Stegostoma tigrinum: one gene and its partners. The protein of the gene in region 2 purifies or fractionates together with the protein of the main gene of each other region. This does not show direct contact. Links are inferred from orthologs where the notes say so. Each region holds a gene or a part of one and is shown on either strand. Other genes may lie near its edges. The genes, in order: small glutamine-rich tetratricopeptide repeat-containing protein alpha-like, bag2, activating molecule in BECN1-regulated autophagy protein 1-like and edrf1.

Region 1 (7,418 bases), on a different chromosome or scaffold from region 2:
TGGCAATTGTTGCACTGCGTTCACTCATCTGTTGCTGTTGTGTCTGCATGGTCTTGCTAATATATCATGCCTTGGGGCATCGTTGTCTGCAGCACATGAGATAGACAATATCGGCCTAGTCACAAGTATCTGCCATGTATATTGTGGGTGGTGTTCCCATGTGCAATTGTTGTATCCATGTCAACAAGATCTGACATCTTGCAGAAATTGCCATGGCAAGGTTGTGTGGTGTTGTGGTCAATGTTCACCCAAAGGCTGGGTAGTTTACTGCAAACGATGGTCTGTTTAAAGGTTTGGCAGTTGCTTGAAGGCAAGAAGTAGTAGAGGCATAGTGATGATCTTGGTAAGATGCCTGTGGTCTAGATCTTGGTGGGCAGGAGTTAATTCAAAATTTGCAGATGATACAAAGCTGTAAACTGTAAAGGAGAACAGTGCAGAATTCCAAAAGGCCAAAGACAAGTGGAGGAGTGGGGAAGAGTTGGCAGATGTGATACAATTCAGAGAAGTCTGAGCTGATGCATTTATAGAGAAAGAGCATAGCCAATGTTACAAAATCAAGAGGTGCAGGTGGAGGAGGACCTGGACGTGTATCTGCATAGAACACTGAAGGTAATGGGAATGATGGAAGCAGTTAAACAGTTCTGTGCATTTTTTAAAAAAGGGGCAGAGAATACAAAAGCAAGGAGGGAAAGCTGAACTTATTCAAGACACTTGTTAGATCTCAGCTGGACTACTGTGCTTTGTTTGGGTACCACACTGATGTAAGGATGTGAATGCATTGGACAGAGTTTAGAAGAGATTTACAAAAATGCTTCCAAAGATAAATACCTTCAGTTATGAGCATTGATGGCAGATATTGGGACTGGAGGCAGCTAAAAAGCAGCTTCAGTAGAAGTTTTCAAAATCATGGCGAGATCTGGATAGAATTTATAGCAAGAAACTGTTCCTGCTCATAAAATGATCCACAACAAGAATGCAGAAATTTAAAAGATACTTGTAAATATGGTGAATGAGATGTCAAAAAAAAGCTTTCACACATGGTTTAGACCCCCTGGAAATGTGGTTGAGCCAGATTCAGAGGCATTCAAGATGGAAATAGATGATTATTTAAGTAAAAACAAGATGCAAAGGTACAAGAAAAAAAAAGCAGGAAAACAGCACTAAGCCATAATGCTCGTTGGCTAGCTGGTGCAAACACAAAGCCAGCATGGCCTCCTTCTGCACCATAATGTGCCTCCAATTCTGAAGAAATTGTTATGCAAACAGAAAAATAAGAGTAAAGCTTGAATTATTGTAGTATCTACACCATGTTTTCCAAGTACAGATGCAAACACTGAGCTACTAAAAGCTGTACATCTGTTGAGTTCTGAAATGAAAAAAAACATAGCTCGCACTGAAGCCATTCAACTGCACAAAGTAGTAACGGTCACCTACTATTACTTTTTTTTCCTTCTTCCTGAACTGAAGAATCAGGACACCATTCTGGGAGATAGGGTTACCCCTTTCTCCACAGCATGACAGTAACTCAGTCAAGTCCCAGAAGCAACTCCCAGGCCAGGCCGACGAGGGCAGCAAGTCGCAAAGGGGGTCCCGGGCCAGGCCAGCACAGGGACATTGAGTCCTGGGACGGAGGCCAGTGCAGATGCAGCAAGTCGTGGACCAGAAGCAAGGCCCTTGGGGACTGGAAGCTCAAGATCTGAGGCCTAGTGGGTCTAGAGACTTGGCCTGGGCAATCTGAAGGCTCGGTACTGGCACAGACTAAAATTTGAGTACTTTTTAAAAAGAAAACTTGTTTATCCTTACACTGAATTTTTATTTGCAATTCTTTCAAGTCTGCAACACATACTTAAGTGTTCTGTACCTAAGCACCCTGTTCCTAAGAAGCTGCCAAAATAGTGACATTACAAACTTTTCACTGCACTCATTCAAGTGCACTTGATAATAAAGGCTTATTCAAATTCTTTACAACTGCATCCCAGGATAATTAAAGTTGGGGAAAAAATGAGAAAGACATAAATCAGCTGCTTAAGGCCAATGGCACAACTTCAATGGAAACCAATAAACATTTAAATATAAATTGAAAATAAATGTGACAGAGAAAGGCTCAGTAGAGGAAGGAAAGCCACCCTGCGCAAGGGGGCTTGGAAAAGCAAACATAGAAAAAAAACACAAACAGCAAATAGGCATGTACAATGGATTTGTTTGTATTCTGTACTGTGGGGATTCTGTGATTCCAAAATTCATTCCTGCTTTGGTGCAGAATACAAACAAGTTAGTTAAAAAGCAAGGGGACTTTATCCATTACAATTGAATACATAAATATTACACCAAATCAGCAGAGAATACACAAAATGTAGTGCTGCAAATCAGCTTGCAAAATGATCATACCTTATCCACTTTAACTATGTAGGCCTTACAACACAGTCCAGTCCTTTGACAATTGGATTCTACTTGAACACAACATTGCATGCTGATGTCTGATGCACTAGTCTATTCTAGACAGCAAATGTAATTTGTGAAAATGGTAAGCCAGCAAACAAACACTTAATAGCTAATTGAAAATTAGCTCATAGGAGCAGCATTAATACAGAGGACATGTACACTGCTTGCACAGATCAATGTGCCAACTATCTCGACATGAGATATTCACACAACTAAACCCAAGTCAGAGTGATACAAGGACAGAACATTCCAGCTTGGGCCTAGCATCGCTGAGCGCCTCCTCACTCACACTTAGTTACACAGCCGACAGAAAAGCGACCCAACTTATAATACCAAGTTCCTTTATTTTAAAACAAAATTGGAGGTGCATTCTAACTTCTTCATATCACCCACACAAAAGCCATTGAGGAATATTTTCTTCAAACTCACCGCTTTCTGATACTAAATACGGACACGAACACCAAGACAACACTCTCTGCACATGCTCCGTCCGAGACGACTTCGGACCCTAGAGCGCATGTGCTGTTCGGCTTGACGATCGGATCGCAGCACGCATGCGTACTCCCCGTTGACGGCCGAACCCCAGGGTGCATGTGCCCATCTGCTCGGGTTGCCCGCATCTGTCAAATAAGTATCATTTTATGCATGCTCCGATATAGGGGACGAAACTTCCTTTGCTAATGCTTCAAGTGGTGATGATAGGCTTGGTAACTGATATGCTGTTCAGCAGATACAGAACATAGAACAATACAGCGCAGAACAGGCCCTTCGGCCCTCGATAATAAAATGTGAGGCTGGATGAACACAGCAGGCCCAGCAGCATCTCAGGAGCACAAAAGCTGACGTTTCGGGCCTAGACCCTTCATCAGAGAGGGGGATGAAGGGTCTAGGCCCGAAACGTCAGCTTTTGTGCTCCTGAGATGCTGCTTGGCCTGCTGTGTTCATCCAGCCTCACATTTTATTATCTTGGATTCTCCAGCATCTGCAGTTCCCATTATCTCTTCGGCCCTTGATGTTGCGCCGACCTGTGAACTAATCTAAGCTCCTCCCCCTACACTATCCCATCATAAAATGCCCCTAATGTGGCTGAGTTAACTACATTGGCAGGCAGGGCATTCCACGCCCAATATTTGATATTTTCTTGTTTATAAATTAATTATATATTAAATAGTAAAACTGACAGTGACACAAAGCTTTATTTTTAAGGATAAATAAACCTTGTTCTGTATTGAAGTCAATTTGTGAAATCAGAATTAAAGCTCAGAAACAAGCCATTCAGTAGAACAGACTGACGCAATGCTTATGAATCACATGAGCCTCTTCATGTCGTTCATCTAACTCTTATCAATATATTATCTTATTCTCTTCACCCTTCATCTAACCTGATCAACATATTATTTTCTGAAGAAGGCTCTAGGCCCAAAATGTCAGCCTTCCTGCTCCTCTGACGCTGCTTGGCCTGCTGTGTTCATCCAGCTCTACACCTTGTTACAACATATTCTTTTATTCCTTTCATTCTTTAGGTGTTGCCTGTCTCTTCTGAGGTCCACCCTCTTTACAGAGGTTTCTCCTGGATTTAGTGCTGACTATCTTATCATAGAATCCCTACAGTGCAGAAATTCAGCATCAAGTCTGCACTAACTCTACATTCATTCACTGGCTGGGAATTCCTTATGGCCCCTCTTCTTGACATGATCCTCAAATGGAAATGGCTTATACGTACACTTTTAACTCATAAAGACATATATCAGGTCACCCTTCAACATGCTTTTGAGAGAAAACAACCTAATCAGTTGGATAATAATTTTGTCATGGTGGTAATTCGAGAAGTAGGAAATATGATGCCGTGGTGTATTTCATTTTAGTGCAGATATTTACTTTGTCAGGCTTTCTCGGAAACACGTTTTTGTGTCAGCATGGAAATTTGAGTAATTTGTAAACCCGCCAGGATTCTTATGCATTGTCAGTAATGGCATTTCACAGCTGAGGATCATGGAGATAGAAATTTAACCTGTTTCATTACATCAGTGAGGTCAGTGGTTGATACATTGTTGCTTAGGTAAAAGTTGAACCTGGGTGAGATAAACCAATGTCACCATAACAGTGACAAAGAGCTTGAAAAGGTTTTAAGAGTTTTATCATTAATATCTTTTACTGCTACAGCAAGAACATTTAGACTCAAACACTGTGGCAGTTCCCCAAGTTCATAATTATTTGGTGAAGTTGGGACAAAGATGAAGCATTAAAAAAAACAGAAAATTTTGAATATTGCTTTATGAAAATGTATTTTTAAAATTAGCACACCTTTACATCTTTCTCTAATTTTTAGTTGAATGTTGTGTACACAAAGACACAAAGTTATAAAAGCCAAGAATAGAGAATCTATAGATGCAGGTACATAGGTCCTTGAAAGTGGCATCACAGGTGGACAGCATGGTGGAGAAGTCATTTAGCATGCTTGCTTTCGTAAGTCAGAGCAGTGAGTTGGGACATCATGTTACGACCGTACAAGACATTGATAAGGCCACATTTGGAGTACGGCAGCAGTGCCAGTCGCTGTGCTATTGGAAGGATGTTATTAAACTGAAAAGCATACAGAAAAGATTTACTAGAATGTTACCAAGACTGGAGGGTTTGAGTTACAAGGAGAGACTGGATAGGTTGAAACTTTTTTCCTTGGAGGATAGGAGGCTGAGGGGTAGCCTTGTAGAGGTTATAAAATTGTGAGATATATTGATAAGGTGAAAAGCTAAGGCTTTTCCCCCAGGGTTGGGGAGTCCAAAACGAAGGAGCATAAATTTAAGGTGAGAGGGAAAAGATTTGAAAGGGACCTGAGGGGCAATATTTTCACACAGCGGGTGGTGTGTATATAGGAATTAGGAGCAGGAATAGGCAATTCAGCCCTTCAAGTCCACTCTGACTTTTAATATGATCATGGCTGATCTTATATGGAATGAGTTGCCAGAGGAAGTGGTACAGGCCAGTACAATTACAACATTTGAAAGACATTTGAACAATTATATGGATAGGAAATATTTTGAGGGATAAGGACCAAATGCAGGCACATGTGACTAGTTTAGTTTACAAAATCTGGTTGGCATGGACAATTTGGGCTGAAGGATCTTTTTCCATGCTATATGACTCTAAATGCCTAGCTACTGATGGCCATATCCCATGTATAATATCCCAATAGGTGTAACCACCCATAAAATAAAAACAGAAAATGCAGGAAATGTTCTGCAGGTCATAGAATATGTGAACAGCGAAACAAAGTTCATACTTAAGGTATGTGAGCTTAATTGCTTTGAACCCAACGGTCCGGCAATGCTCAGTTTTCAAATTCTTATTCCACTCCATCTCTGTAACCTCCCACAAAAATTCTGATTTTTCTCTAACTCTGGCTAATGTATGCCTGCTAATTATTTGATCTCACTATTCATGGCTGTGCCTTCACATGTTAATTACCTTTCACTGAAACTTGTAAAATTTAGAAAAGAATGGGAAGGAAACAAAAGAAAGGTGTTTGATACGGTGGAGGACAAGAGATATCAAATAACAACAGTCCATGGCGCAGGATCAAAGATAATGATAACTGAGACAAATAAAGAAACAAAAGATATGTCTAGATGGAGGAATGAGTGAGGAAGAGCTACCATCCAAAAGCAAACATGAAAGTAAAAGAGTAAGACAAAAAATTCCCAAAAAGAGAAAGAGATTACAGTTTGAAATTGTTGGACTCAACAATGACTCTGTACGGTGTAACACACCTAATCTGAAAGCTGAAGCACTGCTTGTCAAGTTTAGACCATGTTGGAATGCTATAAGAGGCTGAGGACAGAGTAGTCATTGTGAGCAAAGATCATGAGATGTAGAAACAGAAATAGACCAATTTGCCCATCAAATTAGCTCTGATATTCAGTGGATCATGGCTGATCTGATGATACTCAACTCCACTTTCCTACCTTTACCCCATATCATTCCCTTCCACTAAAAAAAATTACTGATTAAAAACATTCATTATTTCTAGACTTGACTACTACAATGCACTTGTCAGCCTCCTGTGTTCTTTCTGCAATAAACTTAAAGCCATCCAAAACTCTGCTGCCTGCGTCATGACTTGCACCAAGTATCATTTATCCTTCTTCCGCTCCTTGTTCCCACACAGGCTCTGGGTTAAGTAATGCCTTAATTTTTTAAACTTACTTTTGTTATCAAATCCCTTCATGGTCTGAGCTTTCCTCATCTCAGTAACCTTCTTCAGCTCCACAACTTTCTGGGAAATCCGTGTTCCTCTATTTCCAGTCTTTTGTGATTCCATAGCGTTTTGATGATTGTGTCAACTACCTCATCTTAACCTTTTGAATGTTGTTCATAAACTGCTCCTGTTCTCTAGCATTTTTGCCACTATTAGTATCCTTGTTAAAATCGACCTGGCTGCCCAAAACTTTGGTCCTATGCTTAATATGTGGCTAGGTCCTAAATTTGTTTCATGGATTGCCTCGAAACATTTTACTGCGTTAGAAACATAGAAACTAGGAGCAGGAGTAGGCTATTTAGCCTTTCAAGTCTGCTCTGACATTCAATATGATTGTGGCTAATTCAATACCCTGTTCCCACATTTTCCCTATAACAATTGATCCCTTTAGCCTCAAGAACTACATCTTCCATATATCCTTGAAAACATTCAATGTTTTGGCCTCAGCTGCTTTCTGTGGCAAGGACTTGCATAGGCTCAGCACTCTCTGGGTGAAGAAATTCCCCCTTGTCTCAGGAATACCCAGTATCCTTAGCCTTTGAACCTTGGTTCTGGACTCCCGGGTAATTGGGGACATCAATCCTGCATTTACCCTGTCTAGAATTTTGCATTCCCCAGACACCTCTGAGAATCCCCTCTCATTCTTCTGAACTCCAGGGTATATCATTGTAACTGATCCATTTTCTCTTCATTAGTAAACCCTGCCATCTGAGGACTTAAT
Region 2 (6,964 bases):
ACTAACGCCTTCCTCTACACTGCCAAAAAAACCCAGCTAGTCTTGTCATCCACAATCTTATTTATCATCATTGATAAATATCACAAACAATCAAGAACTCAGTACCGATCCCTGTGGTACACCACTGCACACTGGGCTCCAGTCTCACAAACAACCATCTATCACCACCCTCTGTCTCCTGGAACGAAGCCAATTTTGGATCCAACTTGCCAAGTTACTTTGGATCCCATGAGCTTTTACCTTTTTTATCAGTTTTTGATTTGCAACTTTGTCAAAGGCCTGACTGAAATCCATATAAACTGCGTCAAACTACCCTACCCTGATTCAAACTCATGGTTAACTCCTCGAAAATTTCCACCAGATTTGCTGGCATGACTTCCCTCTGATAAATCCCTGCTGACTATCCGCGTCAAACCTTGTTTTGCTAAATGGAGATTAATTTTCTCATTCACTACTTTCTCCGATAATTTCCCTACTACTGATGTTAGTTTGAGTAGTCAATAGTTCCCTGGCCTATTTCTACCACCATTATTGTAAAATGGAACCACATTAGCTGTCCTCCAGTCCTCTAGCACATCCTCTGTAGCCAGAGAAGACTTAAAAATTTGGGTCAGAGCCCCTGTAATTTCCTCCCACGTCTCCCATAGCAGCTTGGGATACAACTCATCTAGAACTGGGATTTGTCCCCACTTTTAAATCCACCAAAATCTCCAATACCTCATCACTTCTTATATTTACAGTACAATATTTATTAGCAAAACAGATCAGAGAAAATGCTGCCTAGAAAGCAACTTTTTTAAGGGAATTTGTTAGTAATTTTTGAGGATGCAGTATAAGACGGTGTCAGATGTTTCTGTAGATTTAGCCATTCGCTCATTTTCATATTTGCTGAGAACAATTTAAACTACAAAAGCTAAAAAAAGTTTTAGTTTGAATATCTGTTAAAATTATATTGATTAACCATTTAAATGTTATTAGTTTAAGACAGGTAATTTTTAAACAATATTTACATCCCTAACTTACATAGCAATCAAGCCACAAGGCACGATCAACCTGAAGTTTCTGGCCCAGAGATAGTGATGCTAGCCGCCGGGTCACAGGCCTGTTTTGAAACTGCTATTTTCTTCCTCAATGTTTTCTTCAACAACATGCTGAAATGTTATAACACACCTCGCAGGCAGGTGGGTCTTCAACCTAGACGCCCTGGTCCAGGGATAGGGACATGACAACTGTGCAATTAAAATTCTTAAAAGCCTACTGCACGTTTATTTCCCAGGCTGTCTTCCATTCCAAGTACTGGTCAGGCCTGAATTGCTTAGCTTCTAAAATCAGACAAGATCAGTCATTTTCAGACTGGTATCGTTTTAGTCACTATTGTATTGACATGTAATTCTCAACTGCAGGAATAATTCAGAGTATTCATTGTGAATAAACGGGAATCGGGCACACAGCATATTAGTGTAAGTTTACCAAACCTTAAAAACAAAATGGGTTTTCAAGTTTTAGCAGTTGAGGCCACTGCAGTTCAAATGCAGTATCAATGCTGCTGCAAAACCTTTTGTTTAATCAATAATCATAAACCTGTGTCCTTTGATCAGGAGCCCCGCTTCCCGTCGGCTTTCCCCTGTGAAAACTCCCCAAGATTTTGAACAGCCCCATATTAGTGCTGTCTCCGGTCTTCCCGGCTGAAGGCCGAAAGAACTCTGTGCCTGTGATCCGATATTTTAAAAAATCAGAGCTGTACACACCGTTTACTGCTGACTGAAAGCTACAGTTGTATGCACCGAATATCACTAAGAGGCCAACTGCTGGGTAAGACGGGACGCGGCATGATTACGATTTGACAGAGCCTCAACGACCAGGCGAGAGGCACAGAGAGAGAGAGAGAGAGAGAGACAGCTAGAGAGGGGGCGGCGACAGGAAGTCTTCACTAAAAATAAAATCAGAAGTCTCTTTCCGATTCGGTAAGGCCATCCTGACCTCAAGGATTTTTTTTCTGTTTAGGATCCCAAAGAACAATTCCAGAAAATAACAATTACATTTTTCACCTTTTTAAAAAAAATTATAACAAATACGAGGATTACACTCGTTTCTCAACCTGTGTGTTATTTTTGTTTCTGTATGAACCGCTTTAAAGGACGGGACTGGTGTCCTCTCCTACCTCAGCTCTAAGTTGTCCAGTGTCTCCAGGAGCCGCCCCGATCGATCTGCCATGGACATAGAGCGGAAGAACTTGTTTTCTACATCGTTCCCCTTTACCTGATTGATCTTAGACTGGGCCATGATGCTGACAAGTTTCAGGGCTGTCAACTGGCCTTTCTCTCTCTCTCTCCCGTTCCTCCGGGAATCTTGGTTCCTCTTGTGGGATCTGCTCGTCTTCCTGTGGGAGATGAAGATTTCCAAATAGGGTGAGGACTCCCCCACTGTCCAAGGAGGGAGGGGTGGGGGGTAGGGTGGATAAACCTCTACTCACAGGAAAGAAGGATGCAGAACAGAGGCAACAGAAATCTCTCAGTCCCTGGCTCAGATTTATTCCTGGCCAGTGGGTTTTCTAGAAAAAAAAACTCAGCAGGCGCCAAGCAATATATTTAGCAAGGCGCATTTTTTCAATCTTTCCAGTCAACTGTTGATGGAGATTGTGAACATGTCAAAATCTTTTTTTAAAAAGTCTTTTATCCTCGTGTTTATTCTTTGTGAAACACTAATGTAAGCTGGAATTTCTTTTTCTGGACGTGATTCGTTCCATTTCCCACTCCGTCACCACCAAGTTCCCCTCTGAGCCCATATCTTGCTCTTCCTTCAATATCTCCAAAGACTGCAATGATTCAAGACTACAACTCACCACCAATAAATTAAAAAAATCGTTTTTTTTCAACCCTATTTTGAGATGAATGGGCTCATTTAAAAATGCTATGAGACGTACCAGTCTACCAAGATCGGGAATATATTGTTCTTTGATTATTCTGAAGTTGGATCTAGTCTTGGAGATCCGTGTGACAGTGAGTTGCACATATTCACCTCCGAGTCCGTTAGTTGCGCACGCTTTTAAGACCCCTGGTGATATGTGCATCCAGTCTAGGCTGACACTACTGCCCAGTATCGAGGATGTCCTTCACTAATGAAGGTGTTGTCTTTGAGATGATATGAAATAGATTGTCTTTCAGTGGCGCAAAAAATGTCGGTAGTTTTTTTAAAAAAAAAGAGTCCTAGCTAATAGTTCTCCCTTAATAAACATCACTTAAAATCTACTTGATCATTGTCAAGTGCAATGTAAAATGTTACAGTACTTCAGCGGCTGCAAAACACTTTGGAGTATCTGAAACCAATAAAAAAATACTAAATAGACATTTCAGGGATAGTAGGAACCTGCAGATACTGGAGAATATGAGATAACAAGGTATAGAGCTGGATGAACACAGCAGGCCAAGCAGCATCAGAGGAGCAGGAAGGGTGAGGTTTCAGGTCTAAACCCTTCTTCAGAAATGGGGGATGGAAAGGCGGTTCTGAAATAAATAGGGACAGAGGGAGAGGTGGAAAGAAGATGGATAGAGGAGAAGATAGGTGGAGGAGACAGACAAGTCAAAGAGGTGGGGATGGAGATAGTAAAGGTGAGTGTAGGTGTGGAGTTAGGGGGGGGGGGGAATAGGTCAGTCCAGGGAGGGCACACAGGTCAAGGCTGGTAGGTAGGTGATGGGGGTGGGGCTTGAGGTAGGAGGAAGGGATAGGTGGGAGGAAGGGCAAGTTAGGGACGCAGGGACAAGTTGGGCTGGTTTTGAGATGTGGTTTGGGGAAGGGAGATTTTTGGAACCTGTGTGAAGTCCACATTGATACCATTAGGCTGCAGGGTTCCCAAGCAAAATATGAGCTGCTGTTCCTGCAAACTTTGGGTGGCATTGTCGTGGCACTGCAGGAGGCCCAGAATGGACATGTTGTTGAAGGAGTGGGGGGGGGGGGGGGGGGGAGAGTTGAAATGGCTCGTAACTGGGAGGTGCAGTTATTTGTTGTGAATCAAGCGTAGGTGTTCTGCAAAGCGGTCCCCAAGCCTCCACTTGGTTTTCCCCGATGTCGAAGAGGCCACATCCGGAACAGAGAAACAGTATACCACATTAGCAGATGTGTTTTGATGTGGAAAGTCTTCTTGGGGCCTGCGATGGGGGTGAGGGGGGAGGTGTAGCACTTCCTGCGGTTGCAGCAAAAAAAATGCCCTGGGTGGTGGGGCTGGTGGGGAGTGTGGAGTGGACAAGGGAGTTACAGAGAGCGCAGTCCCTCTGGAAAGCAGATAAGGGTGAGGAGAGAAAAATGTCTTTGGTAGTGCGGTCAGATTGCAGACGGCGGAAGTGCTGGAGGATGATGCGTTGGATTCAGAGGTTGGTGAGGTGGTATGTGAGGATGAAGGGATCCTGTTTTGGTTGTGACTGCAGGGAGAGGGTGTGAGGGATGATTCACAAACTTGTCAATCTCCCCATCCCGATCACATCGCAAAACCAGCCAGGCTCGTACCCACCTCCCTAACTTGTCCTTCCTCCCACCTCAAGCCCCACTCCCATCTCCTACCTACCAGCCTCATCTGCCCCCTTGACTTGTCTCCCTGGACTGACCTATCCCCTCCCTACCTCCCCACCAAGACTCACTTTTACTGGCTCCATCCCCACCTCTCTGACCTGTCTGTCTCCTCTCCACCTATCTTCTCCTTTATTCATCTTCTATCCACCTCCCCCTCTCTCCCTATTTATTTCAGAATCCCCTTCTTCTCCCCCATTTCTGAAGAGGAGTCTGGACCCGAAATGTCAGCTTACCTGCTCCTCGGCCTATGTTCATCCAGCTCTACACCTTGTTATCCCACTAAATAGAAGGTCTTCCTTTAACCTTCATGTGGCCATCCATGTGCACAAAAAGTGTACCAGGCTTCAATCATATGCAAACGGTTGAAATAAAAAGCAGGAACTTACTTGGAAAGTTTGGATGGAAGGAGATTCACAACATTTCTTTCTTTGGTCATTTATTCTCTGTATAGTTCATTGGATGTTACTGACATGTTGGTTGCATTACTTGAAGATGTTTAAATAAAGAATCACTAATGATGCAGTACCCATCAGATCATGTCTCCATCAAGTCAAATAGACAGCCAGACAAGCTGGTTATGTTGTTCTGTTTGATTGATCTTCCAGCACATCATCTTCCACTAAGCGTTTCTCACCTGTTTTGATATCCTCTTTGGCCCCCTCACCTGTTGTCTGCTAATACGATTGTAAGGCTACAATTGTGTTTGCTACATTAACTGTGCAATATAAACGGCAAGCTTTTGGAGGTAGAGAGAAGAATTAAATAGCCAAGTCACTGAAAGAACTCTGTTCTTCACCTATATTTGAGCTGCTTGCCATTTCCGAAACACATCACTTCTGACAGTGCTGCAATGAAATATCAGGTCAAGTTATATAATGAAGTTCAGGTTGATCTCAAAACACTGAGGTGATAATGTCACAAAGTTTGTCACAATGAGTTTGAGCTGATGTTTTTGTTGATAAGGCTCTACGCAAATATAATTATGTCTCTCTCTCAAAATATCTCAGAAAATCTCATGACGATGGGTGAAGAAAAAATATTTGATTTACGCAGCATCTATCATAATCTCCAGATATCCCAAATTCCTTCATAGCAAATGAAGCACTTTTGGAAGCTTCTTCATTATTGTAAGGAACGCAATAACCATTTTGTACAAAACAAAACTGTACTATCAGAAAAAGCTAAGTGGAGGGGAAGGGAAATCAATGTGAAATATACATTCCAGGGAAGTACATGTAAAAGATCTCCTATCTTGGTTGCAGTTTATAGTGTTGCTTTAATACGAACAATAATGAATTTCAGCATTGTACATACCTTCTTCAAATTAGTCCGCATTAGTCATACCAATTGAGTCATGTGCTTATGGGGATTTACCCAATGTTTATCGAGATATAGTGAATCTGAACAATTAACATATGTACCCCTTGTATTTCAACTTCACCGAAAGTGAGAAGAGTGGATATTAAATGAGTGTCTTGGCTCAAATTGGTATTCTGATCTATCAGTGTACTGTACACAAAACAAGATTTCAATCAGTTTCACTTAGTTTAACAGATTCGACTCATCTCTGCCCAAAGACAAGTGGTAATCAGAGATCTTGCACCTTTTTGTTTTTGAGTGTTGGACATTCTGGAAAATTATTAACTGAATTTCCTTGCATCTTTGAACAACAGGATTTCCAATATAAAAAGATAGTTCTAAGGTGGACGTTAACTAACAGCAATGTTTAACAATGAGTAATTAAGGTGTAATTTTTGTGGCAAGGACAATAAACATTGGTAGAGCTATCCATTGACCATACATAATGATTAATAAAATCTCTTCTTCAAAGTCTTTAAAAAGAGAGGTAGTCCTATTCAAGGAAAGTAGCTTTTGTAACATACAAGCACTTTACAGCAATATTACTTCAAAGGATTTGGGAAGAGATGTCCTGAGGTCTTATCTATGAAATGCACCTTTGATGTAGGTAAGATATGGTGCATGACAAAGCATGGTTTGCAACATGATTCTTCAAAGAGTACTGAAGATAAAAACTGAAGCTGAAAAGTCATGAACTCATGTTGAGCTTTGAACCTCTCTGATGTTTGGCATCATGACTTTGTTTAGCATGCTACATTTCAATATCTCATACTTTTGGGGGTGGGGAATGAACAATCCATAAAACCTTGTAATATGCTGTGGTCAGAGGTTCAAAGCCTAGCAAGGCAGCTGGAGGAATTTAAATGCCATCAATAAATCTAGAATTAAAAGTCTGCCTCAGTAATTTTCTTCTGAAGGTTTCGACAGCCTCTGTATCCATTACACTCTCAGGTGGTGCATTCCAGATCATCAAAACTGTCCACTGAGTTATACTGCATTATCTTCTTCCTGCATGTATTGTTACAACCCTATCCATTCTTTA
Region 3 (7,176 bases), on a different chromosome or scaffold from region 2:
CAATCACCAACCCATCCCATACATAACTGTAGTTCAAGACTTGGAGGATGGAGAAGAGTGCACAAATGTACAGTTGCTAACTTTGCTGGTGATACAAAATGAAGTTAAGTGTGAAAAGGATACAATTAGTCTGCAAAGGGTAGGTTTGCTGAGCAGGAAAATTTGGCAAATGGAGTATAATGTGGATAAACTGAAAACAGCATATGATTTAAATGAAGAAAGATTGCACAACACTGGAGGTACAGAAGGATCAAGGTAGTCTGGTACACAAACCATACAAGGTTAGTATGAAAATGCAGCATATATTATATCTTTATTTTATTCCAATGCGAATTAAACATAAAAATAGGGATGTTTTGCTGGTCTTGTGCAAAGCACTAGCAAGACTACATCTAGAGCTGTATGTAAGGTTTTGGTCTCTTTACTTAAGGAAGACTAATCTTGCATCGAAAATAGTTCAGAATATCTTCAACTCAATGGATATCTAGGATGGGGAAATTATCTTTTGAGGAGTAGTTGGACAGACATGACCTGTATCCAAGATAACAAGGTGTAGAGCTGGATGAACACAGAGGGCCAAGCAGCATCAGAGGAGCAGGGAGGCTGACGTTTTGGGCCTAGGCCCTTCTTCTAGGCCCAAAACGTCAGCCTTCCTGCTCCTCTGATGCTGCTTGGCCTGCTGTGTTCATCCAGCTCCACACCTCGTTACCTCAGATTCTCCAGCATCAGCAGTTCCTACTATCTATGACCTGTATCCACTTGAGTTTAGAAGAATAAGGGATAGTCTTGCTGAAACATATAAGATCCTGTGGGACTATATGCAGTGGATGCTGAAAGGTTCCTTCCCATTGTGGTGCAATGACAAACTGGAAAAATGGTTTAAAAATGAAGATCATATGGGTAAACCATTTCAGATGAAAACTAAGCGTTTTATTTTTTTCTCAGAGGGTGATGAGTCTTTCGAATTCTGTTCCCCAGACAGCATTGGAGGCTGGGTGATTTAAAATTTTAAAGGCATACATAGATACACTACCAAAGGGGACAAAGGATATGAGGATTCAATAGGAATGGGAAGCAAGGAGCAAATCATCTATTTGTTTGTAATTCATATGGCTACATGGAAATTTCCTGATCTTTAACCAGTATGATCAGGCTTAGAATTTACATTTTAATGTTTATAAGCAAGTCTAATCATTCTGCTTGTGTTTCGTGGGGATTTCTTTATGTAAATTTTTTAAAATCATCTCATTTTTGAGGTAAATAAAATATATTCTGTGTCTTTAACACATATTTATGGCATCGTGTTGTTTGCGCCACAATATTATAAACTGTTTTTAAAACTTGATGTGTCTGATGCTTGTTAGCTTTGGAGATCCATTTTCACGCATAAACAGTAATTTAAAGAATAAAAACAGCACAGCTTTGACAATTTCCTAATAACTCAATGGTTGACATAAATTTTGACATGTTTCACACCAGTTTTTACATTCCAGTATATACCAAAGCGATTCAGGAATTTTCTACTCAAATGTCTGTAATGACATTGGAGGAAGGTCCAGGCCATCTCAAATTTGGAACTCCTCACCACGCTCAATATCATTTTCCTAAAATCAAGATTTTAAAGCCTGCAGTGAGCTACAACATTTGCCAGCACAACAATGACTACACTTTGAGAATGATATTTTGAAATATCCAAATTTATAACATATAACGTAGCCATTCAGGTCAATCTGGAAGTGGCATCTAACAAAGAGCCCTCCCAGCCTAATCCTACCTTATCACGCTAGATCAAAAGTCTGGCAGGTAACAATTCTTCAAAGCAGAATCAAATATTTACTTAATTGCGGTGACAGTTTATGTCTCGACCAGCCTCTGCATGGGCGAAAAAAAGTTTCCTCATCTTTCCTCTACCAATGACTTCAAGCTCTTGACACCTCTGTTAAGGAAAATTTGTCACCTCTATTTACTCAAATTCCCTCCTAATTTTACACACCAATTATGTCACCTCTCAGACTCAAACTGTTAGACTACTAAACATACTGAAATATTAAAAGATTACATTTACATAAATTCTTGCCTCGTCTTATAGTCGAACTATTTCGAAAGAGGGCCCTCTATCAGGGTTTTTCATTTCTCAGATTACAACATTAAAGAGGAAATGTCGTTTACAGGCCTACTGGATCACAATAAATTCATCAAATTAAAATGTCAGTAAAAAGGGGGCCAGTTTCATGTTTCCCAGAACCACTCCAGCCTAACGAGCTTCCCATTTTGTGCTTGTAAAATTGATGGTTAAAACACAGCCTGGGCAGACATTTTGTGTAGGACTCCCCCTCTTGAAACAGCATTAAACTATTCCCCAGCCCCGGAACACAGTGAACAAGGACAGTGCTTCACATTTATGAACTGCCACAGGAGAAATTCATTCCTGGAAACTGAGCAGTGGGTGGAAGGAGGCGGGAGGGGGGGGGGGAAGGAAAAATGTCCCTGAGAGATACCATGACAACTTGTCTAATCCACAGAATACCAGGCACAAGACTGTGGAGTTTTGCCTCACTTACCTCTGGGGAAGACAGGTAGAAAGTGCCGTACGTCAAACAAACTGGTTAGTATCCATCACTGAGCGGAATACAACTGTCCACCAAAAGGCCAAGTTTTGGTGTGGCCTAGAAACCTTTCACATATTCCATAATTTCTTGTGTTACAGACATCAATGTCTCTCCCAGACCAGTGTAATTGATACGGAGCAATGGATGCAATCCGGAGCCAGGCCAGAACAATGGAACCTACAACATCGACCATTCATCCCAACAGGAAGACTTCAGACAGCCAAGGCCAGAGCAAGTGAAATTGTTCAACCACCGCCTGCTTCCGCGACTGGCTGCTGGACCACTTTAAATGCCCGCTCGCAGTATCTCAGCTTAACAGTTCACATCAAACATGTGTATCTATTTGAAAAGAATACACCATGCATTACAGGCTTAGTTGACACGTTGAAAGGGTTTTCAGTTCACATGTTGTATCTGTGCCTCATCATCCATGGTTTGGTTTTTGCAATCGTGTGGGAAACCTGGAAACCTTCAGTCTTGGCAAACCTCCTATTGAAAATACTGGAATGTGAATTATGATAGCCTGTATTGTCAGTCTCATTAAGGCAAGGTTTGTACAATGTGCTTGAGTTCTTATTGTTAACAATTACATAACGTTATTCAATAAAGAACAAATCACATTACTAGGCTAAAAAGTTTAATCCTGGATATAGATTTAATTAGCTAATCTTAGCTTTGGCAATGCTCAGAGAACCACAATCTTAATAGAGTAGGAGATGAATATTATTTTGATGCAACATCTCACACATTCTCTCAGGATATCCCAATAATGTACCTTTTTAACAGTCATCATTGTTGTAACGGACAAAAAAATAAAATTCAATTTGCACAAAAAGTCACAACAGGCAGAAATGAAATAACTGATCAGATAACTTGTTTTAGTTACATTTGAAGAATACATTTAGGCCAGAATTCCATTCTCTTGTTTGAATATTCCCAAGAAATTTCTCTTGGGAATATCTTACATCCATCTGAGAGAACAAATGGGATCCCAATTTCATATTTATTCTGAAAAACAGCACCTTTTTAAATCTAGTACTTTAACTGCGCTGCACAAAAAGTTACATATTCAAGTTTCAAGATGAGGCTTAAACCTAGGAAACTATTTCTTTGTTTGCTCTGAATAATGCAACCATGCATCCTTCTGAGGCACAATTCAAAGCACTACCGCTGACAGACCAATTTTCTTGAATTACTGCACTTGTCCAAAAGACAATTTGAAGGAAGTTTGGTGTTCTTGAAAATTACATTAATTGTAACTCATGATCATATAACAAGTTAGACTGTAAAAATTCTCATCTTTGACCTCACCTAAGTGTATGATTCAGTGTGTAATGCTGTATAATGTTAAGTTGCCAGTTTCATTTCAGTTATTTACCCATTCTGGGGCCAAGTCTTGGTTTAGTAATAATTTATATTGACCATCTTTCAACACAGTCAGTTTCACATCAGAATACAAACTATTAAACTTTGCCATGTGTGAATTGGGTAAGAACAGTAATAAGTTCAGCTGAAGGCCAAATAGTGTGCCGATATTTGCAATGCAGTCACGACTGGTGAGTAACGCAGGATACAAAGAGGGCATCGATGTTCATTGGACTGTAAATAAAATACTGGATGCTGGAACTCTGAAAATTCTAAATAATATTGAGCGTACCCAGCGTTTTCTCCTTATATCTGCAGAACATCCTGTTGGGGACAATGAAAGAATGGGGAATGGAACATTCAAAAAAAAAGAGGAAAGTGGTCAGAATGCATCTCATCTGTATTTCTAAAACAATCAGCCTTTGAAATTCTCCTAAGTCAGAGAGAACTTCCCTGCAACTTCAACTTAAGATTCCAAAACAGAGGGCTGAAATCTCTGCCTAACTCTCTCACTACTTTGGAAACTGGGTCACTGCTACCCTTTGCCTCCTGGGAAATGTAGTCCCCTCTGGGCGCAGGGCATACTGGGGTTTGTAGGCCACACAAGATGACTCTCTGTTTGGCGACCACACATTCGACATAGCGGGCTTCGTAGTCGTTGTGGGGAGGAAGAATAAAATCCTAATTCTATCACGGTGAAAAGAAGACGCGTCGCCGACTTTTATTTACTGGAGCGTTTTCACTCGTGCTTGGTTTAGTTTCAGTGGCGGGAGTTGTGGTGTGTGATGATGGCGAATGTGCGCGCCGGCGCTGAGGGGCGATGTTCGCGGAGCGTGGCGGAGGTAAACAGAGGCAGTTTGAGGCCGGGAGGCCGCTGGCGACGCCGTTTTTGTTGTTGGGATCGCGGGTGTGATTGGCGATTGAGGACGGCTTCTCCCCAACCCCTCCACCGGGCTGGGGCGACGGGAGCCAAGGCCGCCGCTCCGTTCAACTCGGGCGGTGCCGGAGAAGTCTGCTGGAATGTGAGGGGTGAGTGTCCGCTGGGGCCTGGGTAGGGGCTACAACCCATCGGTACCGTCCTCACCCGCTGAAAACGCGGGTTTGTTTTTAATATAAGTCTCACTTATTCATAATTTTACGGCACCGTGCAGCTTCGGCGTTTATTCCCACTTGTGTGCGGCTAAGATGTAAGTTGCTGTTGTTGTTGACTGGTTTTTGGGCACTGGCACAGGCACTGCGGGCCGAATAGCCTCCTCTGCTGGCTGCGATGTCGGGGAGCCAGTTCGGGCCGAGTGATGATGACCCTTCCTTCGGAACTGATTTTTCGCTTCTCTGATACCGCCGGACGTGCTGAGCTTTTCCGGCAATTCCCGCTTTCGTTTCTGATTTGCAGCGTGCGCAGTTCTATCCGTATTTTTTTTTAAAAAAAAGAAAAATTCGGTGCAGTTTCAGGACTGAAGGATTTGCTCGGCCGCAAGACAGTGGCGTTTAAAAGTTGTCTTTTTACCCCGGAAATTAAACGGGCCGTTGATTTCTTAAATCGCGACTGGAAACTTCACTGTCCAGTGTCCTTCATGTATATGCAATGCAGTTTGTCTGTGTCAACATACAGCTTTTCAGTGGATTTCGTTGGCTTGTGAGGCTGCTTTTATTTGTTTTTCCTGGTAGTACCGAAGACCTGTTGCAGGCTGTGACCCAAAACATGCAAGTTACTTAGGCACAGGAATCAGCCACTCAGCCCGTCGAGAAGCTCCGCCATCTAATTAAATCGTGGTTGACCATTACTCCAAAGTCACTTTTCTACGCTATTTCCACACCCGCTGTTATCATTTGAGAATGAGAATCTTACTGATTTCTATCTTGAACATATTCAGTGATTAAGTTACCCCTCCGGCAAAGCTCCCGTACGACTTTTCCCCACTGTGCAGCCTTCCCATGTCCGTGCACACTAACAGTTTATGGAAACAAACATATAAGCATGCTATTTGGCGTGTGCAGACCCCACCCTCAGCAGTCGCACATCTTGGAGGGAATGTTGCTGTCCGGGATCGTGAATTCCAGCAATTCCCCATCCTCTGGGTGAAAATAGATTCCCCATAATCTTGAATGGTGTGCCATTGCTCTGGAATTGTGACACCTGGTTTTAGGCATGCTAGCCAAGGGAAATTCCTGTCTACAATATTCCTACCTTAATATCCTTGCAATACTCCACAGACTGCGGTCATGACAATTACTTGCTTCCTACTTTCTGCCTGTTAACCAATTTTAAAATCTGTGCCAGTATACTAATCGCAAACCCATACACTTTAGAGATAGTAGGAACTGCAGTTGTTGGAGAATCTGAGATAACAAGGTGTAGAGCTGGATGAACACAGCAGGCCAAGCAGCATCAGAGGAGCAGGAAAGCTTGACGTTTCAGGCCTAGACCCTTAGTTTTGTTGCAATTAACCTCCCATTGAAGATTTTATCAAGCCTTCCAAAAATTTGAACACAGCACATCTACTGGTTCACTTTTATCTATACTACAAGTAACATTCTCAATAAAAGACCAAGTTTGTCGATTTGATTTCCTTTCATTCAATCCATGTTAACTCTGCCTGATTTTTGTGTCCAGTAAATATTATCCTTTACAATAGATACTAATGTTTCCTTAGTACTGACATCAAACTAACAGATCTGTAGTTGTCCATTCTCCCTCTTAAATGATGAGCTTACATTTGCCACTCTTCAGCCTGCAGGAATGCTTTCAGTGTCTGTATCATTTTGAAAGATGATCACGAATGCATGAATCTCTAGCCAAAAACTTTGACACTGGAATGTAACTCATTTGGTCTAATGGATTTATCAGTCTTGAAGGTCTGCGTGTGACAGCAGCTTATGGAAGGTTTGATTGTGCAGCCATTGAGAGATTCTGAAGTGCTTAAAGGGAATGTTGCCCTCTGATTAGTGAATTCTAATGATTCCCCACCCTTTGAATGAAAATAATTGGTAGTAGATTCTTTGCGCATTTTGAGAGATTATTGAGAAGCAAATTGCGAAAAGGCTATTAGGTGAGAATGTGGAGAAATCAAAACAACCATAATCCTACTCCATGGCAGAAGAGGCTCATAATTCTCATGTTAATATATAGTTTCTCCAGCATTTTCTGTAAACTGCCCTGTCTCCAACTGTAATGGGCCCTCATTTATCCTGGCTAATTTAG
Region 4 (7,813 bases), on a different chromosome or scaffold from region 2:
AAATTTGAGTGAAAAGAGCCAGAGTAACAAGTAGAAACAGAAGAAGATGAGGTTTGACTGTTACAGATGTAGTTGGATAAGATGAATTTAGAGTTAGAATTTCAGAGAAAGAACCAGTGGGCAGTTGCTTAACTTTGTGCAGGCACTCCCAAAGTTTCATGACAAGGATGTAGAAGCATTTTTAAATTTCTTTTCAAAAGACAGCCAGACAGTAAGGTGGCCAAAAGTGGACATTTCTAGTTAGCCTGCTTTGCACAAGCAGAGCTTTTGAAAGAAGCTTCTAATGATTGTGAAATGGCAAATGTAGTTATTCTTGGTGCATATGAGTGGTCCCTGATGTTTAAATACAGAAATTTCAGAATCTTCAGAATGCAACCTTGACAGACTTCTATAGAATTTTGAAAGAGTTGACCAAATTACCTTTGATTTAGACGTAGACACCACAAACGAGAACTATCATAATTCTCTGAGAGGAATTTTAAAATTCAGTCCTTTTATGAGAAATAATCCACACAGAGACCCTGATTACAACAACCAGGCGGGTAAAATGGCTTATGATTGTGTTTGTTCACAAAATCACTTTTTCTATTACCCTCACAAATCTGAGAATAGAAAATGGGAGGATGAAAGGAAGGCAAGTAGTCAAGGACATGACGGAGCAGTTGAAAATACCCTCGGACCTCCTCCTTAGACCACAGAGGTGATTAGGATGGAACAGCTGTTTAAAAGCCTTAGTCTTTTCGTTGTTACAAGGTTAGTTGCATTCATGCAGCTTGCTAGAAGTTGGACTTACTGGGGTGCTCAAGATTTATGCAGAAAAAACGACCCTTACCATGAGTATAACAGACCAAGTTGTGGCTCTGGGTGCAGTTGTGAAGCCAGATACTAGCAGTATTACTGTGGGTGCAGGGAAAGTGAATTAGTTACCTAAGAGCTACAGGGAATGCTTGTTGAAAAGAAAAGCAGCTCCTTATCAAATGAGATAGGTAAACACATTATTATACTTTGGGAATGATTTGCCAGCGGTAACATAGTAGCTTCTTCAATAAAAACAGAAAGCAGTTGCAGGAAAAGATTCCAGGATTTTTGCCTTCATGTATACTGACCTGAACAATGGCTAAACAAATTTAAATGTTGGAAGCCAATTTGGCGCAACGGGTGTTAGGCTTTCTGAAACTTTGGGGATTTGAATAATCTGAAAAAAATGTTTATAAGTCTTCTTCGATCAAGGTTCAGCAAGTCAATCCAGAGTTAAGAAGCATATTCAGCACAAACCAAAATTTAAGCAGAGGCATTTCCAGAATACTAGAATATTAAAAATATGATTCTAATTTGGAAATAGAGACATTCTCACAGACCTGTGAATGAAGATAGATGGTTCACTAGATAGTGATGCTGCTCAAATATCATCAGGAGATATTAAGGATAGCCAATTAAATTCCGAAATAAGACATGTAAGGATCCAGAAAAACCAAACCTGAATAAGATGACATTTCCCTTGCCAGGACTTCAAAAGAACTTTTTTTTTTAAAAAATGTGTCATAATAGCTAGATTGTAGGAAAACCACAGCTGAAAAGAAACCAGCAAAACTAATTTCCTCTCTGAGGAAGCGTCTAGGCCCAAAATGTCAGCTTTTGTGCTCCTGAGATGCTGCTTGGCCTGCTGTGTTCATCCAGCTTCACACTTTGTTATCTTGGATTCTCCAGCATCTGCAGTTCCCATTATCTCAGACTAATTCCTGTACTGTTTTTTGGGTAATCAATCTTTGGGGTGCTGGTAAACTGTGAGTGTCTTCTACTGAAAACAGGAGTGAGAAACCAGTATATCTGTACTTTTATGGTTTGACTGCTTTGTTTCCAGATGCTAATTCCTTGAGAACAATTTCTGCCAAGCTAATGATGGAGAAGTTAACAGAGTTCTTCATTCAAAATGGATTAACAATTAAGATCTGGCTGAATTGACATTCCAATTATATGTCGAAAAAGTTCTCAAGACAATTATGAGCAGTCTGGATCTAACACAGTTAAGTCCTTAGTGTACAACCCACACACACACACACACACGGGGTTTTAGAACTGTACGGTCAAACCCCCAAAACAATGTTTAAGGTATAATGTTAATGTTACCTGTTCCCAATTTGTATGGAACCATAATTATACAAATGAAAAGGAACCTCAGTCATGTGGATCCTCAGGCAAGTGAAGCAATGACAAGATCTGACAGATTTAAAGTAATTGTCGCAAAGTCTAAAGGGGAATAAAACCTACAGACTTGTTAGGATCTGAAATGCACACCCTGAAACAGTGGTGGAAGCAAATCCCTTTAGCACTTCTAAGAGATAACCGGACATGTGCTGGATTAATTTTCAGGTTTACTGGCAGAAGAACTGGTGTGTCTAAATTGAAGTTATTTCAAAAATTGACAAAGACATATCAGACCATATGACCTACTTCTGTCCTGTAAGAGCTATCATTCTATTTGTAAATAGTGCCCAGTAAAAATGCAACAAGCTGTTGCATAATTGCGATTTTGCATAATTTATAGAGGCTACTTTTGTAATATATATATATCGCCAGAAGTGTCCTTACACACAAAATCGAATGATTTTCCCACCACCAAATCACTGACAATTTTTCCAACTACTAACCACCACCAATAAGTCACCTGTACAACCAATCTGATATTTACATGCAAAGCCTATCACGAACAATGCAAACCATCAGAAGTGAGGGAATGGTAGGGAGAACAGGAAGGGGGAAATACAGCACTGAAGCCCTCAGGGTACCACCTGTTTCTAAAGGCATTGGGAACATTGGTGGACACTATGTGCTCTGTCTCCAATGGCACCCAGGCAAAAATATAAACAGAGGCCCTTTATTATGTTTTCCTAATCAACTGTTCAGAGATGTTAATGACACACCTGTGGAGCAGGTGGGACTTGAACCCAGGCCTCCTGGTGCAAAAGTAGAGAAATTAGCACTGTGTTATGAGAGCACATCTGACAAACTCTTTAGATATTTTCTAATCAACCTTTTCAGCAATGATTTTACACACCTCTGAAACAAGTGGAACGTGAGCTGTGGCCTCTTGGTTCAGAGATAGGGACATTACCATTGCACCACAACTGCCATGTAGTTAATTAAATATATACAAGCAAAGCCCATTATGGGCAATACATACACTCAAAAGTGAAGATGGGAGGTAGGGAGAAAGGGAAGAGACAAAACCAAAATGGAGGTGGAGAGGGAAATAAAGCACAGTATCCCGCCAAGGTGCCCACCTCTCTTTAAAAGCAACAGATTCTTTATTTTTCAAAGAAGCTCTTTATTGTTTTATCTGCAATTTAATACATGTTAATAATTAAGTAAATATTTTATCCTTGGCATTCCCATGAAATATTTTGAATACATGAATCAAGGGTAGTTCGCCCTTGATTCAAATTTGTTCAATTCTAAATGTTTAATTCTCATTTTCATCACTGAATTCCCATTTTGCTCCATTTGTGTTGATTAATTCAAATTACTGACTAATTTCAAGCATGATTGTAAAATATTGTGTCCTGATGATAGGTCACTAATCTCTACAGAGAATGCTGTCTGACCAACTACATAATTGCCAACATTTACTGTTTTAATAGTTGAATTATCAGCAGATTGCATAATCATTTTCTGTAGTTTGTTTTCGCTGCAGTTTTTCATCAGCCATGTATTTTGAATTTTTAAAAAGTTATGTATCTTTTATTCGTCTCAACAGAAATAGCAGATATTAACATTCCTGGAACATCTAAACCCCAATGCTTATCTCACCAACATACTACCCTTTAGTGAAAATGAGCAGAAGGATCAACTGTGCGCTGAAATCATAGGTATTTTCCACTATATGGGTTGCACTACATTTCAGGAATATTTAAACACTACTATAAAATTTTCTATTTTCTTGATGCTACAAATTCAGAACAAAATGAAGCATTTGGTGAAATACATATATTTTTGCGTAAAATGTGGAATTAACTTCTGAACATAGCTAAACAAACTTCTAAACATTTGCAGTACTTTTGGATAAACATGTGCTGGCATCAAAATAAACAAATGAGATTCATTAGGAATAATATTAATCACATACTTTTTTTTAAATTATAAAGACCTTGAATATTGATGAACAGCGGGACTTGCTGTTTATGTTTCGCTTTGTCTTCCATTTCCAGGGTCGACACAAGAAAGCCAACCTTCAAATGATGACAACAGCTTATGCTACAGGAGGAATATGGCAAAACATCTCTGATGTCCAGGGTGTTGCCATGGAAAAAAACAAGGAGCTCAGGTTCCCTCGTCGCCCAGGTAATTCAGAAAAGGTACAAGACTTGAACTCATTTGTTTGCAGAGAATTGATCCCTGAAATTAACAAATGTTGCTTTCAACAAGACGTCATACGTTTGACATATGGCTTTGTACCTGCCACCGAAATCCAGATATAACGTTCTCTCCACCATTATGACTACTGAATCAACTTTCCCCACTCTGTTAGATTAGAGAATAAAACGCTTTGAGATAGGCGAGGTGAGGGGCATAGATCGCCAGGCAGCGAAAGCCAAAATGAAAACATTTTCTTTCCTGCATGTGTATTGGGGTGCTTCTGGCGGATGCCTCCTCTCCAATAAGTGCGATAGGTGTAACGAATGTACAAGAGATTGCCGTCAGCAACGAAGCAACCATCTCCCTCTCTTTTCCGAGCTCTGACCGTTTCTAACGGAACTCCGCGCGTTGCCGGAAACTGGATTGCGGCACTTCCGGCAGAAGTTTCTGGTGACACTACTGGTGCTTCGCCTCTGCTTGGGGCAAGGGGGTGGGGGGTGCCGGTAGTGACCGTCCCCGGCTGCTGCCGCCACGAGGGTAGGAAAACACTCCCGTTCGCCTTTGTGTTCGACAGCGCCGCGTTTAACCTCGTTTCTTGTCCCACTTGTTTGGTAATGACTTCTAGAACGTTCTGGGCAAGAAGCCGGTTCATGTTTTTGCCCGGAGTGGCCCGTCTCCCCCACGCTGCCGAGTAACCATGGAGGGAAGGGAGTGTGCGGCCGCAGCCAGTGGTTCTGCCCCTCGAAAGGCTGAAGTCAGAGAGAGTAGCAGTAACAGCAGGGAAACTTGTGACTTGAAACAGGTAGGTAGGAGGTCCTTTGTGCTTTCTCGAACTTTTTGTTTTAAATTTTGAGACTCCTCATTGGTCGAGCCTCCATCTCCAACCCTGCTGTTCACCTGGATGTAGCCCTCGTCAGTTATTGACACCACCCCTCCCTTATCCACAATCCCGGAGGATCCCGGTTACTTCTCCAAGGACACAAAGCACAGAAGGCCCTCGAAATGACCATTTGCCAGTTGCTCCCGGTAGTTTAGAAACCAGGGGATGCGTTGAAAGTTTTAGCGATAGGAATGGTGCGGGTGTGTTGCTTTGAGTTGCAACTTTTGAAATGCAATTTATGGTCATGGAAATGCTGCCTTTGAGGATGTTGTACTCAAATGAAAGATGACATCAAAAGGAAGTTCCATGAAGACTTGAGGAAAATCAACTTGCAGGGCTGTGGGGGATAGAGTAGGGAAATTATAGTCGCTCAGAGATCCAACATGATTTTGATAGACTGCCTTGCTCCTGTGCCGTGATAACTGAGATCTGATCTGATCTTTCTTTCTTGGTCCCCAGTTTTGTAATTCCTAATCGCACAAAATTCTCTAAGGTAGTGTGGAGCTGGAGGAACACAGTATGGAACTGGAGGAACACAGCAGGCCAGGCAGCATCAAGTAGGAAAGCTGATGTTTTGGGTCAGGACCCTTCTTCAGAAAATTCTGTCCTGCCATGTTCCTCCAGTTCCATACTGTGTTCCTCCAGCTCCACACTACCTTAGAGAATTTTGTGCGATTGGGAATTACAAAACTGGAGACCAAGAAAGAAAGATCAGATCAGATCTCAGTTATCACGGCACAGGAGCAAGGCAGTCTATCAAAATCATGTTGGATCTCTGAGCGACTATAATTTCCCTACTCTATCCCCCACAGCCCTGCAAGTTGATAACACAGTATGGAACTGGAGGAACACGGCAGGCCAGGCAGCATCAAGTAGGAAAGCTGATGTTTTGGGTCAGGACCCTTCTTCAGAAAATTCTGGCCTGCCGTGTTCCTCCAGTTCCATACTGTGTTATCTCTGATTTCAGCATCGGCAGTTGTAACCAGCACAAAATCTTCTGCCCCCTTTTGAAGATCCACAATTACGGCCACCCACGTACAGTTATTGTTTCATCTGGTTTTTACTCCACTCATCTGATTCCTTGTTTTCACAGCTCATATTCCAGTTTATCCTTTTGTCTGACCTTCTGATGTCTGTATTTGTGACTCTTGATGCTCGCAGCCACTTGCAGTTTCCACTAATGGAGAATAATGCAACTAAGCACCCGCCTATCCAGTTCTGAGGGACAAGTTGAGGGGGCTAGAGGGCTTGTGGGGCCTCCATTCAAACAAGAAGTAATCTGTCCCTATTCACCAACACTTCTCTCTGCCTGCCTGCACTCGTCAATTTTGTACTAGTTTCCCTCAATTTCACTGACTTGTCCTAAGTAAAATGAGTATTCATACATGAGAATGGCCCCTATCTGTCTTTTCATGGGATATGTGGCATATTCTTTATTATAGTACAATTAGGGAGCCCCTCCAGCAGATCTATTTCTGTGTATTGATGGTGCAATTGGTATTTCCTACTGTTGAATTTTTCAGCTCTAGGCAATCAACCTTGTTTCGTGTTTCCACCATTCCCTGCCCTTCAGCTCCCAGTGTTCCTTAACTACTTTGTTTTGTTTCAGGTGATAGGCTACCAAACAGTTCCTATTGTGCTCTCTCAGACTCTAACTGTCAACGTGACTACACTCCCTACAATCCTGCTTCCTTTCTTGTATCTTCTGTGCTGCTGCTTGCCTGTTCTGATTATGCCACCTCTGAACCATTACTTCCTCTATTGTGGGATTTCCCTTCATTCTGGTTGTTAGGATCTTAAACAGTATCTGTCTGTTTCCTCTCAGCCATTCCAGTACTACAGCAGGACTCCTCTTAACTCCAGCCTGCCCATTCAACAGATTTATCTGCAATTTCTGCTCCTTGTAATGTCAGCAAATGCTTCCCTTTTTCCAGTCCAGAGGTTCACTTTGCATTCTGCCTCCCCCTTCCCATGGCACGTTCTGTTAAAAACATAGGGGATGTAACATCTGCCTCTTCCACCCTTCACATTATAGATACCAAAAACATTCTGCCAGTGGAACAGTGATTTATTCTTTCAGATGTTTAACCTACATTTTGTGCATTTGATAAAATACCTCTTACATTTGGTAAACCAAATACAGATTAGGTGACTTTTTGAGGAATGCAATCTTTCAGTTTAGAAATGAGACTCTGAACTTAGCATCACCTGTCGCTTTAATTCTGCAGTCCATGCTGTTCCAGTGAAGCTCAATGAAAGCTTGGAGAAAAGTGTTGTATCTTTCAACAATGCACTTTACCACCTCCTAGATTTTAAAATTGATCTCAAGAATTTTAGATGATGACAATTGCCTCCAATACAAGCAAGGCTAACAGTTGTTGTGCTGATCAACTTTGGGAAGAACTGTGAATGTTGCCTGCTTGAACTGTTACAAATGTAAGTACACTTGCAGTGTTGTTAGAAAGGGAATTCCAACATTTTGACTGAGCAATAGAACTGAAATGGTATATATTCCAGTCAGGATGGGGCATGGATTGGATGGGAAATTGCAGATAATAGTGTTCCCATATATTTGCTGCC

What was found.
Region 1: the proteins of bag2 (region 2) and small glutamine-rich tetratricopeptide repeat-containing protein alpha-like purify together in Homo sapiens (affinity purification with mass spectrometry; 3 studies listed by BioGRID and IntAct, with this or other methods). This does not show direct contact. The link is inferred for Stegostoma tigrinum from reciprocal best matches to the Homo sapiens genes BAG2 and SGTA.
Region 3: the proteins of bag2 (region 2) and activating molecule in BECN1-regulated autophagy protein 1-like purify together in Homo sapiens (affinity purification with mass spectrometry; 3 studies listed by BioGRID, with this or other methods). This does not show direct contact. The link is inferred for Stegostoma tigrinum from reciprocal best matches to the Homo sapiens genes BAG2 and AMBRA1.
Region 4: the proteins of bag2 (region 2) and edrf1 purify together in Homo sapiens (affinity purification with mass spectrometry; 3 studies listed by BioGRID and IntAct, with this or other methods). This does not show direct contact. The link is inferred for Stegostoma tigrinum from reciprocal best matches to the Homo sapiens genes BAG2 and EDRF1.

The regions. Positions count from the first base shown.
Region 1 is NC_081383.1:7,847,978-7,855,395, forward strand, and holds the start of small glutamine-rich tetratricopeptide repeat-containing protein alpha-like, read right to left. Parts: upstream 3,006-7,418; 5' UTR 2,872-3,005; intron 1-2,871. UniProt on the Homo sapiens protein: Co-chaperone that binds misfolded and hydrophobic patches-containing client proteins in the cytosol. Mediates their targeting to the endoplasmic reticulum but also regulates their sorting to the proteasome when targeting fails.
Region 2 is NC_081357.1:92,219,341-92,226,304, forward strand, and holds the start of bag2 (BAG family molecular chaperone regulator 2), read right to left. Parts: upstream 3,006-6,964; 5' UTR 2,284-3,005; coding exon 2,162-2,283; intron 2,109-2,161; exon of another isoform or gene 1,749-2,108; intron 1-1,748. UniProt on the Homo sapiens protein: Co-chaperone for HSP70 and HSC70 chaperone proteins. Acts as a nucleotide-exchange factor (NEF) promoting the release of ADP from the HSP70 and HSC70 proteins thereby triggering client/substrate protein release.
Region 3 is NC_081370.1:2,164,034-2,171,209, forward strand, and holds the start of activating molecule in BECN1-regulated autophagy protein 1-like, read right to left. Parts: upstream 3,017-7,176; 5' UTR 2,562-3,016; intron 1-2,561. UniProt on the Homo sapiens protein: Substrate-recognition component of a DCX (DDB1-CUL4-X-box) E3 ubiquitin-protein ligase complex involved in cell cycle control and autophagy.
Region 4 is NC_081373.1:31,645,964-31,653,776, forward strand, and holds the start of edrf1 (erythroid differentiation-related factor 1), read left to right. Parts: upstream 1-4,790; 5' UTR 4,791-5,050; coding exon 5,051-5,155; intron 5,156-7,813. UniProt on the Homo sapiens protein: Transcription factor involved in erythroid differentiation. Involved in transcriptional activation of the globin gene.